3 linked regions of the Drosophila melanogaster genome follow. The protein of the gene in region 3 interacts with the protein of the main gene of each other region in a pairwise test. Each region holds a gene or a part of one and is shown on either strand. Other genes may lie near its edges.

Region 1 (6,766 bases), on a different chromosome or scaffold from region 3:
TTCATTGTACCACGACTTAAAACCTTCACAACTCCATGGCAAGGTAGGTCGGAAGGAGTTGATCATGAAGAGCAGAGGAACTGCAGCAAAGATGCTGTAGTAAATCAACATGCTGATGGTCAGGAAAACGCTAACATATCCCATTCCTACAATACAAAATAAACTTTAAGCCAATTATTTAGTTTTTTCCTTTTAACATACCTTTAAAAAACGGTGACAGCCGGAAGGCGGAGATGAACCCACTGCTTGAGAACTGGCCCATGAAGGAATGAATGACCATGATTGGAACCAAATATATCACCATGTAAACTAGGTACGGCAGCATCCCAAAAACTTAGGAAGGCAAGAATCCAGAAAATTTCAGTGTTGCTACTATTTTTAACAGGCATTTACATTAATTAAATTATATTTATTACTCTTATCTGATCAGAGCGTAGGAAATTTACATTTTACAATCAACGCCCCTAAAATGAATAGTCTAACCTTGGAGCATATATGCCCTATACCTATAGATACCTCTGTTTTTAATACTTACTGCCCATATCAAAGAAGAACCAATACGAGGCCACAAATATATCCAGTTTAAGGGCTAATCCAAAGCAGGCAAATATATAGTCGGTGGGCTTATCCCACTTTCCTCTCTTCAAGTCGGGGGAAAAGGGTTTGTGCCCACTATCATACGATGTTTCATATATCATTTTGTGACGTTAGTATAGCCCGGTAAATTGTGTGAGCAAAGGAATTTGAAAAACTTTTGTATAAAAAGAAATATATCCAATTTCACACGCCGATGGAGGTACTTATTATTAAAAGCTTTGGCAAACAACAAACATTTCGCGAGCGTTTTAAATTGACGAACTAATTAGTAGCAGCGATGCGGACGAACTAAATCCGATTCCGCTGATAAACCGCAGTGTAGCTGATTCCACTGGACTGAGATGCTCATAGCCTATCCCGGACCATTCACACTAGATCGGCCATCAAATACACTTTTAAGAAATAATGTTAAGCATAATTTTTTGAATAAATAGTCGGTATTACTTTGTAATACTATGTAATGTGAACAAGTTCAAACAGACAGTAAGAAGATCCCTAATAATTTAATGTAATATGATGTATATTAATTTGGATATGTTAAAACAAACATCTCAATGAAACTAATACCGTTCCTAAAAGTAGTGAGTCACCGAAGTGGCATTCTGAAATTAAAAGGCATTTCTATACACTAACATGACGTCAATAAGAGTACTTTGCTTATAACCATAATTAATCAATAACTACATTAATAATTACACGTTTTTAAAAGCTCTCTCTCTCTCTCGATAGACAAACTATGTAAGCATTATAATTGTGGACGTCACAGATTTTTTAAGCTCAACTTTATTAACTTTTCCGAGATATCTACGTTTCTCTGGACAGTCACACGTGTGAACCTGATCGATTCAGGTGAGATAAACGCTGTAAAACCCATTGCTGTAAGCATAGTGCAATAAGTGTAGCATTTCCACCTTTCACAATATGATTGTATATATATGCATACCTTTTTTTAAATACGCATTAAAATTACTCATATATTTATATTTAGTACATTTCTAAGTGCATCAGTAACTAGTTGACCTCCTCAGTAACCTCGAAGAGTTGGTGGGTCATCTCCGTGTTGTCCACAGCTTCCTCGTACTGCTGGCGGTGCTCCATCTCAACCGGATACCAATCGGTGGGTCGGCAGGTGCGTTTAAAGCGTTCGCAAAAGGTGCCCGTGCTCTGGTAGAGGTAGTAAAATCCATATCCAGGAATGGCCAGAATGGGCAAAACCACGAGGACAATTGACATCACGAAGACCACTGTTGTGGAATAAGAGTGCTCCGATATGGACAGAGCAATTCCCGCGAGCTAGTTAGTTAAAAGAATATGATTATTCAAAGCAACAAGCAACTAACTAACTAACTAACCAGACAAATGACTAAAATTATTGGAGCTATAAAGCGGAGTATGAAAACCTTCCAGGAGGCAAAGGGCTGGCCCAACATGAACTCAATATCTCGCTGGAATCGTTCGCGACCATAGATCCACAAAACCACCAAAAGGAGCAGTAAGTGCAGCAAACTATGTGAGAAAATGGCATCAAGACCCAAGGCCGAAAAGAAAATAATGCCATGCTAGAAACGGAAAATTGTTTAAAATATTTCTTAATAATATATCTTTTTTGTGTAAACTTAAGTACTTACATTGGTGCAAAAGTAAAAGGAGCAGAGTGCAATACCTCCAATTAGCCCAAAGGTCACCTCTTGTTTTCTCACTCTAAGTACTTCGAACTCATCAAACAAACTTTGCAAAACCGTGAAGATTTGCGTCGTCTGAAAATAAAATTATTTAAGTTTAGTAGCGTGAAAAATAAAAATTAATTGTGTAGATTATCATCACCATCACAATTAGAGCAGCAATTAAAAGCATAGAATAGTATATAAAAGTCCATAGGTTTGGCCAAGCCATTGTGGACAAGGCAGAAGCACTTGACAAATATAGCAGCCAATGGCTCAAAACATGTCCGTTATCATCAACATCGGATAGTTCTGAAAGGGATAACTTCAATACAGTAAAGATATTGCAAATCTATAAAGTGCTATTACCATTAAAGTAGTGTTCCAGCATAAAGGAAACCATGCCAAACATGATATAAATGAAGATCTGTCCAAAGGAAATAATCCAACTATACGACATGATGTCAGTCTTGAAACCGTTGAAACTGGACAGAGTTATTACACTGCCCCAACCAGCTCCGAATGCATGAAGAACCATGATGAATGTGGACACTACTCCCATGGCCATGTCACTTGCCTTTGGAGTCACATATCTGTGGAGCCCGTTAAGAGCTCCCGGAAGGAACAGGAATCGCACAAAGCACACTAAAAGAAGAACCAGGGTAACAATCACCATGTAGCGTATAAGTTTTCCAAACTTGGCCGTCTCTGAGAATTTATAAAAAATAAATGCAATCACAACCCAAATGATTGCGAATAGGCCAACAAAATGCCAAGACAACTCGTAATCCTTATACCAATCCGGAACCGCATCCTGTTGCATGCTATCATAGTGATTTCTGTAAACATAGAGTTAAAAAGAAATTATTTTTAAACAATTCTTAAAATAATATTAAAATATTTGCATTGGATTAATTAGGTAATGTTTTATTGCTATATAAATAGGAGCACTTACTGAAAATAGAGCACGGATGGTACATGGAGCAGCTGGTGAGATCTGTTGTATTCCGAAAAGTCCTCCAAGATCAGTGTCTTATTACAAGACTTAAATATAAAAAATGTACTTAGTCTTCAATTCAATTTAGTCATACACAAATTTCATACACTAGATAGCGTTGCACTTCCATTGTGCCAAGAACTCAAGCCCTCACAGCTCCAAGGTAAAGTGGGTCGAAATGAGTTTATTATGAACAGAAGTGGAACCGCAGCAAAAATGCTATAGTAAATTAGCATGGAGATAGTTAAAAATCCACTCACATATCCCATGCCTGAAATTGATATTTCGATCAATATTTAATATCTGTTTAAACTTCTCGGTTACGTACGTACCTTTAAAGAAAGGCGACAGGCGAAAGGCGGAGATGAATCCACTGCTGGAGAACTGACCCATGAAGGAGTGAATGACCATGATGGGAACCAAGTAAATGGACATATATACAAAGTACGGCAGTATTCCAAGAACTGGTCCAAGCAAATAGTGTATTTAAATAAATGCATTCAAAGATAAAGATTAAATTCTGATGTATAAACTGTTATCTCTTGTGCTGTATAAAGAGACACAATTATTACATTAAATACATAAATATCGACAGAATTAGGCATTGTTTTGTATGTATGTCAGATGAGAAGGTAAGAGAACATTAGCAGAGCACCGCCCCTCCACAGATTAGTCTAAATCCGAACCTTATCAGCAATATAATATACGTAGTCGCCCTTGCGTTACTTACTGCCCATGTCGAAGAACATCCAAAACGATGCCACAAAGACATCCAACTTCAAGGCTAATCCAAAGCAGGCGAACATAAAGTCCGTTGGCTTATCCCATTTTCCTCGATTCAGATCGGGGGAAAAGGGTTTATGCCCGGTATCATACGATGTTTCATATACCATGTTGAACTACCCACAATATTACCGCCAAAATGTGGGCGAGAATGGATTTAAGCAAATTTTGTAAATAAGTATATATAACTACGATCTAATTTTACACTCCCGCAGAGGTAATATTAGTATATATATATTTTTTTTCTGCAACCGATCCGCGAGCGTTTTACTCTAAATTGACGGACTAATTAGTAGAACCGATGCCGGCAAACTGAATCCGATTCCGACAGCAGGCCTCTGTTTAGCTCATCCCTCTTGAATGAGATACCCCAACTTAGGCGATGCACACTTGGTCTTTAATCACACAGTTATTACTATGGAAGTGGGGTATCTTTATACCGAGATTCATTTGAAACCTCCCTCTAATTTCAAACAGATCTGTTGTCAAAATAAAGATATGCTAGGAAAATATATATCTAAGCGAGTTATCTATAGTTTCAAGCTTTCGGTTATCAAAATAATTGTAAATTTGTTATTACACGTTTTGTAAGTGTATTTCCGATCTCGACCATAAATTTGCATTTATTGTTATTTTGCTTTAAATTCAGATTATTAGAGCTCTTATATCTGTGCCTGTCTCTCTTATGTGCGCCTATCGTCGTGCATTGCCAAGTTCATTTCGATTTTGGAACTGGAAACTGATATGGTCGTGCTCGGGAAATGGGATGACAAACAAGACAGCCGCAAAGTTATCAAATCTGGGGGAAAACTCAGACAGCAATGCAAAAGCAAGTAAACCCCATAACGCCCTGGCTGTTGATTTCAATAACGCATTGATAATGTCTTAATATTTGTTTTTTCTTATGTTTGTTTGTTATTAGCGATTAGTTTTAGGTAATAATATACAATTACCTCATATATTTTTCAAACTATTATTATTTTGCATGCATTTAAAAACATGCTTCTAACAATCTACTCTAAACGTCATATATTCTATAACTAAAATTCCAAAATTATTATTATTATTAGTGCGACATTAAATAGTTTAAAGTGCTGACAGCCGTATATCATAAATTTAACTCTTTTCCTTATACGTTTACCAACTTCAAAAAAAGACTTCAACATTTTCAATGCCTAAAAGGTAAAATTTTATTAGTTCATAACAATATTTTTGGCCGAAGCTTGTTGAACATTTTAGTAGGAAACTACTAAATATCACCAGTATATTGTTCACTATAGCTAGCTTTTGGAAAATATCAGTACAACTTCATTACAACAACTAACAATCGCCATTGCCAATGGATCCGCTTATTTATATACTAGTGTGCGTGTTTGTTATTGTATTTTTTGCATGTGTGAATGTGACCGCATATGGGTGTATAATAAAAGTGAGTTCAGTTCAGTTCATTTGTCAAGTGACGACGCTGTAAGTATTGAGTTTTGATCTAGGGAGTATTCGATATTTAGGCACTATGTGGTGTTGGCATTGGCATCTATAACCAGCATCTCCGAGATGCCCATGATTTCCTCGTAGAATCGCCGGTTGTCCGCATCCACCGGATGCCAGTCATGTGGTGCGAGGCACTGTTGCAATCGCTGGCGCCAATCGCCATTCGTCCGACATACCTTGTAAACCATATAAGATATGGCCGTTAGGAGAATCAAGCCCTGACTCACATAAATCAGGACATCGTGTATGCGATCACGCGTAAATAAATAGGTTAGTTGAAACTGCAAGAAATTCCAATAATATCAGTCATTAACTATATACAAATAATTTTATAATAATAACCACTACTCACCAGACACAGTCCCAGAAAAATGGGCGTGGCAAAGCGTATAAAGAAAATTTTGAAACTTGAGATCGTTTTGCCTAACATAAACTGCAAGTCGCACTGGAAACGAACGCGTCCATAAACCCAAGTGGTCATCAGCACAAGGATTCCCGAAATAAGCAAGTGTGTAAACACTGCCAAATTTGGCAGCTGAGTCAGCTGACTAAAGCCCAACTGAAATGGATAATTATGTATTACAGTATGCTCTCAGAAATGAAAAGAATTTAAACTCACCTGAGTACAAAAATATACAGAGGAAGCTGTGAGGCAGAAGACTAGCGATGAAATTACCAGAATTCTTCTTGAACGCAATGTCTCGAACTCATCGAACAAGGCAGTAATAACGGACATCATTTGAATGATCTTTGAAAGATACAATTAAATTAGATAAAAATTCTTAAATGGGTGCATATGTAAACTTACCAAGGCACATAGTTCTGATAAAAATATCATGCCAAAGAACAGAAATGCCCAGAGATTTGGAGTCGTCGTAAAACGTCCAAACAAGTATGAGAAGCAGAGATACAGAAACTGCATATGATGCTTCTCATCCACATGTAATGGCATCATACCAACGTGATCTGTTTGAATATAGCAATTTAAAAATTGGAATTGTTTTCAAAAACAAAATTCAAGAGGCCCTACCCTCAAAGTGATCGTGGGCCACATTGCAGCAGAGCAGTCCCATTAACCCAATGGTAATATGAGTAAGGCACACCCAGATACTCAGTCTTTCGGCATCTCTGCGAAAGTTGTTGTAGCTAGACAAGGTTATGATACTGCCCCAACCGGGCCCCAAGGCTCCGCCGGCCATCAGGAGGGCCGTGCGAGCCGTTGCCAAAATGCTGTCAA
Region 2 (6,062 bases), on a different chromosome or scaffold from region 3:
ACCACACTCTACTCACTCAGTATTTTTGTTTCTTTTTTTTTTTCATCAGTGTCCCGTCTCTAGGTCTCCCGCACTGGTGTAAGGGGCGGCCTGCCTCTCACACCTGTTGTCGCTGTTTAGAATTCCCAAATCAAATCGGCAATATTAGCAGCATTTCCTCAGTAGTCCTCAGATCGCAGGCTCCTGCCTCACGGTCGCCATGTAATAAACCAATATATGCCACCAATTGAGAACACGTGTTTTCCTTGCAGTTGGGTGCAGCCGTCAGGCCACCTTTTTATTTCTTCTTATCTCTTCGAGTAGCAGAAACGGTTCTGCCCGCTTAACCTCTACAGAGTGTCTAATCTTACCTAAATACTGCGACTGCGCCGCCGTCGACAGCGGCAGAAGAGCAGCGTATATATATATGTATAAGAGAGAGAGAGAGAGAGCTTATGCGCATATATGGCCAGCGGCCAGCGTGGGGATGCTGACTTAGCTTAAAGCATAAATGGGTGATCTTATATCACGCTCACTTGAGACATTTATTTATGCAATGCAACTAAGTGTTGCTGTGTACTTATAGGTACAGTGTACCCTCGATATATGCACATACTACATGCTATAAGACGCGAAGAAAAATAAACCAACTGCCTAACGCTATTTAAGCTCGTATACGTTTAGTATTCATTTTTATCCGTACTCTGTTAAAGTGATAATCATAGAACAAGATTCAAACACACCGGTCTTTTCATTATTCCTGTATGTTATTCTGTATGTGTAAGCTATTCCCGGCTAACGATATGGATTTCCTGTATTGAAGAAGTTTTAAAAACTTTTTTCCGGAGTTATTTCAATGTACAACTTTACCGAACCTTTACAATGTCAACTATTACGAGTATATACAAAATACATTAATTTAAACAAATTTTGCATTAAAAAACTGTTAAATGAATTTAAAAAGCAAGAATGAACGAGTTCCTCGAATATCAGATACCCGTTACTCAGCTTAAGCATTTAACATCCTTGTTGGCATATCGATAGAATTTGGAAAGAAAAGACTATTAAAAATATGAAAAAAGATCGAAATATTTTCCAAAAGTGGGTTCGCGACAGGATTCGGCGGGTTTTGTGCGTTAGAGTGGGCATTGCAAAAAGTTTTTTATCAAATCGACAGAAATTTACAAAACTAACAAGAGAGAATGCGAGAATAGTCGAGTTCCCCGACTATCAGATACCCGTTACTCAGCTAGTGTGAATGAGAACGCGAAAGTATCATTTATTTTGGGATATCAAGAGATATTGGGAAATAAAATGAAAAAAAATTTAAAAATTGTTCAAAAGTGTGGGCGTGACCGGTTGTGCGGTTTGAGTGGGCGTGGCAAAAACGTTTTTGGCAAAATCGATAAAATTTACAAGACTAATACATATGTGAACAAATATCAACACATTTTTCAAAAGTGTAGGCGTGGCGTTAGAGTGAGTGTGGCAACATGGGTCAAACTTGCGCTCCGTCTATGTTTCTAGAATCTGTATGCCTTTTAGCTTTTATAGTTCCTGAGGTCTCGACTTTCATGTCCAGATTGACTCGGCTATGGATCCTGATCAAGGATATATATACTTGATTTGGTCGGAAACACTTTTCAACGAATCTAGTATCACCTTTTAATCTGAGTAACGGGTATAAAAATAGGAAAATATATCAAAACAAACAGTGGGCGTACCGGTTTTGGGTGATTTGAAATAAACTTGCACTGCGCCTATGTCTCTAGAATCTTTATGCTTAATCTCAACCTTCTAGCTTTTATAGTTTTTGAGATCTCGGCGTTCATATGGACGCATAGACATTCGAGCAGACAGACAGGGACATATAGACTCGGCTATTGATCCTGATCATAACCTTTGACTCTACGAGTAACGGATATATAAATATCAACACATTTTCCAATGGTGTGGGCGTGGCAGCTTTGGCAGGGTTTGTGGGCGTAGCAACATGAGTAAACAAACTATGCCTCTGAAATCTATATGCTTAATCTCAATATTGTAGGTTTTATAGTTCCTCAGATCTCCACCTTCATACGGACGGACATGGAGAACGAAAACTAGGAAGGACAGGAATACATATGTACATACATACATATGTATGTATATTGCGCTTGCTGTAATAGTTGTGTAGTTTGAATGAGTTTGAACTCTGCACTGAAATAGGTCGGTTTTTAAATTATTAGTGCCACCCCACCACCAGCAATAGGCCAAGTATCGGCATTCAAAGCAATGGGAAAGGAATAGAAGACAAAATCGATAGCTTAGAAATAGTGTCAGCTGCGTAAAAAGTGGCTACACCTGCCACACGGATGACAATGTAGGGTAAAATACACACGTCAGCCGTATATTTCTTAGTACTGCGTAATAAACCAGTTTGGATATACGTATGTGTTAAGTGTTAATACATACAGAAATACTTTATAAGGTGGAAAAAGCGTTCTTCTACCTGTAACATCCTTTTAAGTGAATTCTTACTCTACGATTACCGACCATTTCTAATACTTTTTAAATACTTTAGCTTGCAGAAGCAAGCATCCATGTTTATTATTATATTATTATATTTAATATTGCTACTACATTGTACAGTGTTTGGTAGTGTTCCCATTGCTGAGTTAATAGTTCCTTAATTGATTTGCGCCCAGGTACCAGACGACCGAATTTGGAGAGCAGTTTTACGGTCCTGTCAGACTTATTTATATTAAACCGTTTTTAGTTTAAGCAAAATATGAGTTTATGTTACCTTGAAATTAAACGATTAGTTTGATTAAACCTAACCATTTATCTCTAACAAAGTTAGCTATTTATTTGAGACGACAACCAAATCCTGACTCCTTGACGAATAGTGCGCTAGTGCGATCTGGCCACTGTGCGTAACTGGTGGTTCCCGCTCTCACCAATTGTCATATTCATACACGTGTATTAACATATGAATCAATGTCCGCCTAGCGGCTTTATTGAGAGGATTTCCCCATGTCCAGCTGCATGTGTGCATAATGATGCTTCTGGTTGATGGTTGCGTGCCGTCGCCTACTTCCGGAACCCGCTTGTAGGCGGGTGGCGGATATATATAGGCATTACCCACACTTCACGAGCTTTTGACTGACCGTTTGTGTATCTCCAATTAGGCGCATCCCAGCACCTGGAGCACCATCCACTACGACTTGGAGCAACTTCGCGAGGCATGTATCACACCGGACCGCAGCTCCTGCTTGCCGCAAGCACGCAAACTAGTCAACAGAATCACTCTCCACACTCTAGATCTCAGGTAGCACAGGGAGAAGTGCATATTGTTCGGTCGCATCCCTCACTTAAACCACTTTCCACTCTCCCACCAACATACATACACACAATTACTCCTCTAGGGCAATACTAATACCAATTTGTATGGCGCAAGGGACCGCATCATCTATTGCAGCTGATTGGTTTCACCCAAATATTTATACCTTTCAAATTTAGGACCAGGACGCAACGGTTCGCTTGATTAACTCGCACCCGCGCTCTAATCAGAACAACAGCACTTTCGATGGATGTTTTCAAGTGAGACTTGACAAACAGTAGAGCTACGATGTGATAATTCCAACGGAGGTATCGATAGCGCATGGTCATCGATACCTCACGCCAATCAACGATTGCTGAATGACTCCACTATTTGTTATCTTATCCCGGTGCTGGAAACATTATTTCAAGAAAATCAATTTTGGTTAATTTTCTTTTTATTACGTGTTGATGCTAGAACCGCTTTTTCCCCTCTCAGCAATAAATCTTGTATTGCCGAATACAAACGCTATTTTAATGTTGGTCTTTTCGTAATTATGTTTAATATGAATGTTCAGTAGCAATTGCAGGTGATTTTGAGTTGCCATACCAACATCTACACAGTTCGGGAGCTGCCATACTGCAGTATACAGAAGTCGGGAGTTGCCATAATTTTTTACTAAAGTAGACTGGATTCGAATCGTAGATAAAAATTGTATAACCCAGATTGATTATAAAAGAAGCAATGTTAAGTTTAGCTAAAAGGAGATTCGATTACTGTCATAAAACTATGTTTGTAGTGAAAATTAAAACAGGATTGTATTCAATTTTTGCATATACATAAGTCCCTGATGACATCAAATGAAATGCCAAGAAAACGAATGCAGTCGGACATAGGCATATAGAGTCGTCTGGAGATTCCGATCAAGAAAAGAGAATCAGGAACATTTACATGATATATATACCTTCCTCCCATTAGATAAATCCTCTTCGCTTTCGCGGTGGTTTATGAAATATATATAACTTAGCACGTTCTCTACTCAACAACGCTTTAAAAAATTTCCACCGTGTTTTAGCTCTCCTTTTGCTTTTGATTTAGCCCTTAAACCAACCTTCTTGGCAAGAATAAGGTGGAATCGGTTTATGTTATATTACACGTTACACGTTACACGTGGGCTTGGAAATTTTGTGATTCTTGTGGGCGTGGCAACACGGACATGGCTAGATCAACTCGGCTTTTGATCTTGATCAAGAATATATATAAATTATATAGTCGGAAACGCTTCCTTCTGCCTGTTACATACTTTTCAACCAATATTGTATACCCATTTACTCTACGAGTAATGGGTAAAATAGAAGTGAACCATTGTTGAATGGTTTTAAATTAAAAACCTAATGATATTATAAATACATTTTGCCCATTAAAAGAGTATATCATAGGATTTTTTCTGTATTCATACCAGGACTTTGAAAAATTTGATGCTTGGGGATGAAAAGTGGTAAAAGTGTAAAAGGATATATGTAAACAAGAGAAAATGTTATACTCGATTTCCCGCTCATCAGATACCCTTTACTCGGCTAGTGGAAATTCGATCGCCAAATTTTATAATTTTTCCAGGATATCGATTGATTTTGGTGAATAAAATGAGAAAAAATTTAAAAATTATTGGCGTGACAGTTTTGTTCGTTTTGTAGGTGAAAGAAGGGTCGTGGCCACATTGTTTTGTATACCGATAAAACTTGGCAAGACAAATAATAAAACGGAAAATTCTAAAAATATTTTAAAAGTGTAGGTGTGGCAGTTTTGGGCGGTCTTTGGACGTTGAAGTAGGCGAGGCAAAAAGTTTTTTGGCAAATCCATAGTAATTTACAAGACTAATAAAAATATGAAGAATTATCACAGAATTTTTCAAAAGTGTTGGAGTTCCGGTTTATTCTTTACTTTATTAAATAATCTTTGCTTTAAACGTGAGAATGTATACATATTATATTATTATATTATGTATACATATTACAGATTCCATATAATTATGAATTTGTTATTTTTATCATTACTTATTTAAATATTCATATACTTTTCTTCACTTGTACTAAGCAAATGCTCTTCAAAATAGGCTTCTCATATAATTTACAGCACTGGGAAAACGTTTCTAATTTTTGAATTAATATTTGATCCTTTGGGGTATTTCTATATAACATTAAATATATTATATGAGTCTCTTCCTGTTCATTTACATTGCACACCTATGGAGCTACACATCTATATTGCGAGTTTTATTTACGAATATATTTCGTCCTACTTTGCGTATATTTAGCACAATCGTAACAGAATTTTTAATGTTCTCCAATCTGTACGATTAAAAAGCACTTCGCTTAAGAATATTGCTATATAGACCCCGCTCAGAATTAATTTCGATATCTTCGCTTAATTGCAGATTTTCAGCTATTCCTTCTAGGCTTTTCACTTAAGTATAAAACATATCTGTATGTATATACATAAATGTATTTATATGCGAAATTCACCAAAAATAAACTTGTTTTTTCTTGGTAACAGTACTCTACTGTCTCAATTATCTACCGGTAACATTTAACCACTTCAGTTAAACACAGGTACATCGATTGCAAATTGAATAAAAAATAAAAAAGAATAATTGTACAATAGAAAGGATTCCCGAGGAAGTGAAAAGTTTTATTAGAACTTGCATTAGAACTTTTTCCGAAATGTTGTGTTTAAACAAACACACTGACACGCGGGCTTGATTGACAGAGAAGGTTTTGAAACT
Region 3 (6,162 bases):
TGCAGCGCTGTGACTTTTTGTACTGGGCCAAGGCGCACTTTTCACAGAAATAGTGCTTGCACCTGGAAGAAAGATAAATATGTTATTTATTCAGTAAATCCAGTTTAGAAATCGTTATCATCTTCATACTTTGTTACCACGGGATTGACAAAACTCTGTCGGCAGATGTGGCACTTGAAAGGCAGTGTTTCTTCATCGGAGTGAATCTCATACTTGGTATCATCGCCATCGGAGTCTACATCACCCGTTCGCTGATTTTCGTGATCCATTTCCAATTGCCAGCCCGCTTTGTAATCACTGCGATCGTGCAGAAACTTACAGCTGTCGCCAAAGCCGCAATATCCTGTTTCCTTGTAATCCTTGCATATATCCGGCTGATAATCCCACCTGACAGTGGCCCTAAGATGGGCAGGAGCCCTAATTGGGCCACTTCGTACCATTCCGGAGCTGGCATTCCCTGCCGCTGTATCCTGCTTCTTGTAGTACTGCGCATAGTTGTTAATTCCGCGATAGATCTTATCGTCCGCCTTGCCCTCCAGCTCTTCGTTGATTTTCAGAGCTCGCGCATGAATTGCCTGCGCATCGCGATCCAATTCTGTGTCCATTTCGTTAATCGATGTAGCTCCCTGATCTTGGGGTCCACTGGGCAGCGCCTCGCGTTTGGATTTGTACGCAATGCCCAGTTTATCATCGTCGGAGGCTGAGGATGAGCCATCATCACCAACTCCTCCCGCCTGTCTCTTTGCTTTGCTCATTGTCTTGGTGCTCTGGAAGTTGGGATTCGTGCGCTTTCGGCGGTTCTCGGCTCGCACCAGAGCACTGGCTTTGCCTTTGGTCTCTTCATCGCTGCTTTTTGCTGGAATATCAATAATATTTGCCCATTTACTTTGTTGGCGGTAAAATTAAGTTCCTACCAGATTCATCACTGCTGGTTTCCTTTTTGCGACGAATTCCAGCTCCCTTCTTGAGGTTCCGCTTCTTGAAGCCAAAGGACGAGGTGCTAGCCGCTTCTTCCGACATTCTCCGGCTTTTAAATTTATGTACTTATCTAGTAATTCACGTTAACAACAATTAACAATAGCAATTTCGCCAACTGGCGCTTCTTCTTCCCGGCTAGTGATGGTACTTGCGTAACAATCGTTATGGAGTTAGTATTTTTGTATGAAACGGGCACATTAAAATTCAATGTTTACTTATGAGGAATATATTCGTTTGTAATAATTGCAATTTTTACATATTTAATACATCATCAATATGTAATAATTAATAGATTTATATTAATTTAAAGAATTCTAGAAAATATTAACTCCTATGGGATCTACCCTTTTAATCATCGATACCAAGATGTTCTGAAAGCTTCCCACTTTTGGCGCTCTACACGCGGTCACACTGTTTTCTTATCGCTTGTTATTTTTAGATCGTCAAAAAACAAGTGCGTTTTTAAAAATTAATGGATTTCAGTTTTAGCTTACAAATTATTTACTCCGTTTCACCCCCAGAACATGACGCTCGAACAGCTGTCCGCAAATAAGTGCTTCGAGGGCGAGCAACGCGTGTATCGCCATCGCTCGGACACCTTGAAGTGCGACATGACCTTTGGCGTCTTCCTGCCGCCGGCCGCTTTGGAGGGTAAACCGTGTCCGGTGCTGTTCTTCCTCAGCGGACTGACCTGCACGCATGAGAACTTCATCCAGAAGAGCGGATTCCAGCAGCACGCCGCCCGCCACAACCTGATCGTCGTCAATCCGGACACTTCGCCCAGGGGCGTGGAAATTGCCGGCCAAGATGATGCATACGACTTTGGAAGCGGGGCTGGATTCTATGTGGATGCAAAGGAGGAGCCGTGGTCGAAGCACTACAAGATGTACAGCTATGTGACCCAGGAGCTGGTGGATGTGGTCAATGCCAATCTGCCCGTGGTTCCCGGTAAACGCGGTATATTCGGCCACAGTATGGGCGGCCACGGAGCCCTGATCTGCGCGCTTAAGAATCCCGGGCTGTACCAGTCGGTGTCCGCTTTTGCGCCGATTGCCAATCCCACCGAGTGCCCGTGGGGCAAGAAGGCCTTTGCCGGCTATCTGGGCTCCAATCCGGATGACTGGGCCCTGTGGGATGCCACGCATCTGGTGTCGCAGTACGAGAGCACTCCGCAGGAGCTCTTCATCGACCAAGGTGCAGCAGACAACTTCCTGGCCGGCAAGCAGCTGCTGCCGGAGAACCTGCTGGCTGCCGCAGATGGCAATGATCACATCCAGACCATCTTCAAGCAGCGCGAGGGATACGATCACAGCTACTTCTACATCGCCACGTTCGTCGCCGAACACATCGCCTACCATGCCGCCCTGCTCACAGCTTCCGCTTGATGATATTCCGCTTGTACATAATCGTTGGTTTCCACCGAAACCATAATTCAACGTAAATTTGGCAGTAAATAAACCAATTTCGACTGAGCTTCTAAAATGTATTCTTACATTCTTGACTTTAAACTTTGAACTTGGACTTTGAAAAACAAATATTTTTATTCATTCTAGGTGCCAATGTACAGAAGATTATACACAAATGGCGTGTACTTTGTTATTTCGGTTTTAAGTTCAGCAATTTCCTTTCACAAACAAAAACTTAAGTAATGGGTATTCAGCATTCGTCGAATTCCTAAGGACTTTTTCCCGGACTTGTGGTAAGGGTAAAAGCTCGCAACGTAGTAAAAGCTTTCCGGTTGTTGGTCCACGGCATGCTGGAAACTTTCCGCATCCTGGCATCCTGCGTACGATTCATTCATCAGTAGAAAAAACGCCGTCTGATGGAATAGATGTGCTAGTGACAGAGGGAACCGAACCGAACGGAGGTACCAAAAGGCGACATTCTCGACTCGTTTGGCGCCATATTTACTAGGACCAATCGGAGTCGCCAGCTCTGTATTTGCGTGACTGCGTGTGTGCGCGAGATAGTCCTGTTTTTTGGACCCCCCTTTGTTTGTGTAACTTCGCGCGCTTTTGTGTTTTATATACCAACGGGTCGGAAAATCGGGTACCAAAAAAAGGGATTTGAAAAGGCGTGAGATTTGCGGCCAGCTGCTGGACGACTGCCAGCGGACTGAAATCTTAATTAGCCATTTAATGGCAGTTGGCACACAACAAAGCCCCATGGTAAGCCCTTAGCCATATGGCCCATGTAAATCAATTTCAAACCGAGCTCAGATCTTGACATTCTGTCAGCGAGTCAGCTAGTCAGGTGTGGTATTGGTAGCACCTTCCCCAATTTTTATGTGCAACTGTACGACATGTTTTATGGCCGACGTTTTACTGCATGCTGGCATTTTTACACTTCCATCAGCACTCCATTTTTCACAGTTCAGAGTCAAGTTCACGCTCCGTATCCCTTCGCCATCCATCAAGTTTGTCGATTCTGCCACGGGTGCTGGGCTTCAAACTTATTTAAAGTATTTAAGCCTTGTTTTTTTCACTGGCCATCATTTGCATATTATGATTTGGCTATTGAATTTTATGGTTTTATTATCAAAGGGACTTTGCAGAACTGCTTTGGGCTCTTCTTAGACTTAGAATTGTTATTTCACTCATTATAAATTTTCCATTATTACTTTTGGGGCAATCGTACTTTTGGGCTAGAATTAAGCTTAAAGAAAAACAGTCTTGGTTTCTCATTACCAGAGCTTCATTTAAATTTCGAACACTTCTTTGGCGGATGGGATTGGTGGGACTCAAAGGCAAAAAGCCATGAACTTGATCTTTCAAAAGAGGTTGCAAAATGCTTTTGGCAGCTACGAAAACGTTCCTTTCTGTTCCTTGGCTGTCAAGAAAGAGATTACAACGAATTTTCCACTTTATGTTCGTTTGAGAAACGTTAAATTGTTCAAGCAAAGAAAATCTTGTTTTTTGTTAAAATATTCTTAGGCTAAGAAACATGGCCAAAGGCTTAAGATATCACATTTTCATATAGCTTGAATGTGTCATAAAATGAAATAACAGTCTACCCAAGGCAAATTTAAAATATTCTTTATTAAGATAAATCATCATAATTCGCACAAGCCCAATTCGAAATTAGCATTCAAGAACGATATTTCAAATTTTATATGACTAGTAAAGTATAACCTCAGTACAGTTTATTACCTAGCTGACCAAATTGCTTTACATTATGACAAATATTTCGCTGAACGTATTGATTACTTATAAACATAATTTTTAAATTATTATTCAACACATATTTGACACGCTTCTTAATTGAAATTTGGACAAAAAAACGAAATAGAAACCAACAAAATTCAATGCACACGTGAAAATTATTTACGCGACCAGCGTAGAATGTTCAATTTGTACTGCCAAAATTACTTTTATTTTTTATTGCCATTCTCCTCTTCTCATTTTTCAGTTTATTACGAGTGGATTAATTTTTTTCGCCGGATATTAATTTACGTTATTTAAGTAAGAAGCGGTAATAAAGCCACCTCGTTTGCTGGCAAAAAAAATTTAGATTTCTTACGCCCGTTTAAATATCAACTTCTGAAAAGTTCGGTATCGTGCTACCATTAAACAGCATTTAACTATTAAACGCGTCGTACTAAAATCTTGTGTAAGAATCGTTTACGCTCATTCAAAGCGGACCGCCATATAAAATGCAATATTTCCATTTTTATAGTGCTTACTGATGCTTGAGGCACTCGGCTCACTTTTTATTTTTCCATTATTCAAGGAAAAGACGCAAGAAAAGCGCGCTAAGACAGTAAAAGCGTCGATTTCCCTTGAATCCCTTGCAATTGGAAAAGGTGATGCAATACACATGAAGCTGGTAAGTTTTTGGGCTTAAATTTGTTGCCCCACACGTGTACAGTTATTAAACATCTTGGTCGAGAAGTTTTCCCCGGCCTAATTACTGGTAAGCCACTTCGACCACCGCACCAAATCCCCGGAGGATCGAAATATTGTGTACTGAGGTGGGCAAATACAAGTGTTTACCTGAGCAGTTCAAGGGGAAAACAGATTTGTTTGGCAAGACCTTAAAAGAGAAAATTCCAATAAACCGAACGTAAAATCAATAAAAGTCAATATAAGAAAAGCGAGAGGAAGAAACTTGTCATTCGTTTGCGAATACGTAAGTTCGGAAGAATCTATTTGAGGAAAAATATCCGCTTATTTGTCAAAGTTGGTCGTTTGGTGAACAAGATATATTTGCATTAGGTATCGATTAAATTGAAGTAAATTTGCTGATTATATACAAAAAAATATATTCAATATCTTAGCGAACATATGTACTTCGTATAAAGAGTATACCGAAAGTATGTATTTGTAGCCTTTTCCCAATTAAATGGCATCGGCACAATATAAATAAGAGTCGTTCTAAAATAAAGCATCCATTAGCACATCAATTAACTTTATGTACATATTGAACCTGGGAAACCACTCACATAGCACGTGCGTTCTAGTGTGGACCTTATTCGAACGTTTATCACGCATACGCAGTGTTGACACATATTATTAAATTCCCATGCTTGCTGTGCGTCAAATGTTACTGTCACACTCTAATACTCGTAAGCCGATTAGATTTTAAAACAAATATGAATATATTTATAATGTTTACATTGTTTTCCACATATGAGTTTACACAAATTTATGAGATCGTAATGAACAAGTTTTAAGCATTTCATTTAGATTTTATCATCCAAAATATTACAGTTTTAAGATCTTATATACACTTTAGATAGCTCTTTAAAATTGTAATTTCGTTTAAGTTGCTCTTACTAATAATTCACACCATAAAATCGTATTTATCCACAAGAAATAAACAATTTCATTTCTTAATTTTTGTATATCCTTTTAAATGTCAAGGCAACAATGACTTTTAAAAGTCTATCCCAGAACCCACACACTTTGCGCAAATGTGTATGCAGTTCTTCATGTGATAAAAGAAAATGGAGAGATCGAATCGGTTTTCCATTGAAACAAGACGTGGGTGTGGGTATCTCTGACCCGACTGACAATTAGGCCAATCATGAGGAATCACTTGCGATGACAAACGCCCGGGCCACGTGCATACGAGCAAATTGATGTATTGTTTTTGGGACGCCGAGTGGCCCATCAGAAGGCATCAGAGGACTCTCGGCGAAGAGCTGGGTGAGAAGTAGGCTCCATGGTCGTAGGGACTGCGGTG

Evidence for each region. Proteins that work in one complex are often made in the same cells at the same time.
Region 1: the proteins of CG17193 (region 3) and CG13795 interact in a two-hybrid assay, tested with the Drosophila melanogaster proteins (one large-scale study listed by BioGRID).
Region 2: the proteins of CG17193 (region 3) and Tsp39D interact in a two-hybrid assay, tested with the Drosophila melanogaster proteins (one large-scale study listed by BioGRID).

The regions. Positions count from the first base shown.
Region 1 is NT_033779.5:7,721,948-7,728,713, forward strand, and holds CG13795 (uncharacterized protein), read right to left. Parts: upstream 4,352-6,766; 5' UTR 4,149-4,351; coding exon 3,986-4,148; intron 3,720-3,985; coding exon 3,588-3,719; intron 3,527-3,587; coding exon 3,363-3,526; intron 3,303-3,362; coding exon 3,214-3,302; intron 3,098-3,213; coding exon 2,628-3,097; intron 2,571-2,627; coding exon 2,422-2,570; intron 2,355-2,421; coding exon 2,226-2,354; intron 2,157-2,225; coding exon 1,950-2,156; intron 1,891-1,949; coding exon 1,609-1,890; 3' UTR 1,098-1,608; downstream 1-1,097. Other genes in the region: CG13794 (uncharacterized protein), read right to left, coding at 1-146, 202-333, 536-698; CG13796 (uncharacterized protein), read right to left, coding at 5,550-5,810, 5,882-6,088, 6,149-6,277, 6,338-6,495, 6,560-6,766.
Region 2 is NT_033779.5:21,342,142-21,348,203, reverse strand, and holds the start of Tsp39D (tetraspanin 39D), read right to left. Parts: upstream 3,598-6,062; 5' UTR 3,468-3,597; intron 1-3,467.
Region 3 is NT_033777.3:20,052,712-20,058,873, reverse strand, and holds the start of CG17193 (uncharacterized protein), read left to right. Parts: upstream 1-2,776; 5' UTR 2,777-3,146; intron 3,147-4,783; exon of another isoform or gene 4,784-4,803; intron 4,804-6,162. Other genes in the region: mdlc (midlife crisis), read right to left, coding at 1-62, 130-856, 915-1,020; CG4390 (uncharacterized protein), read left to right, coding at 1,500-2,363.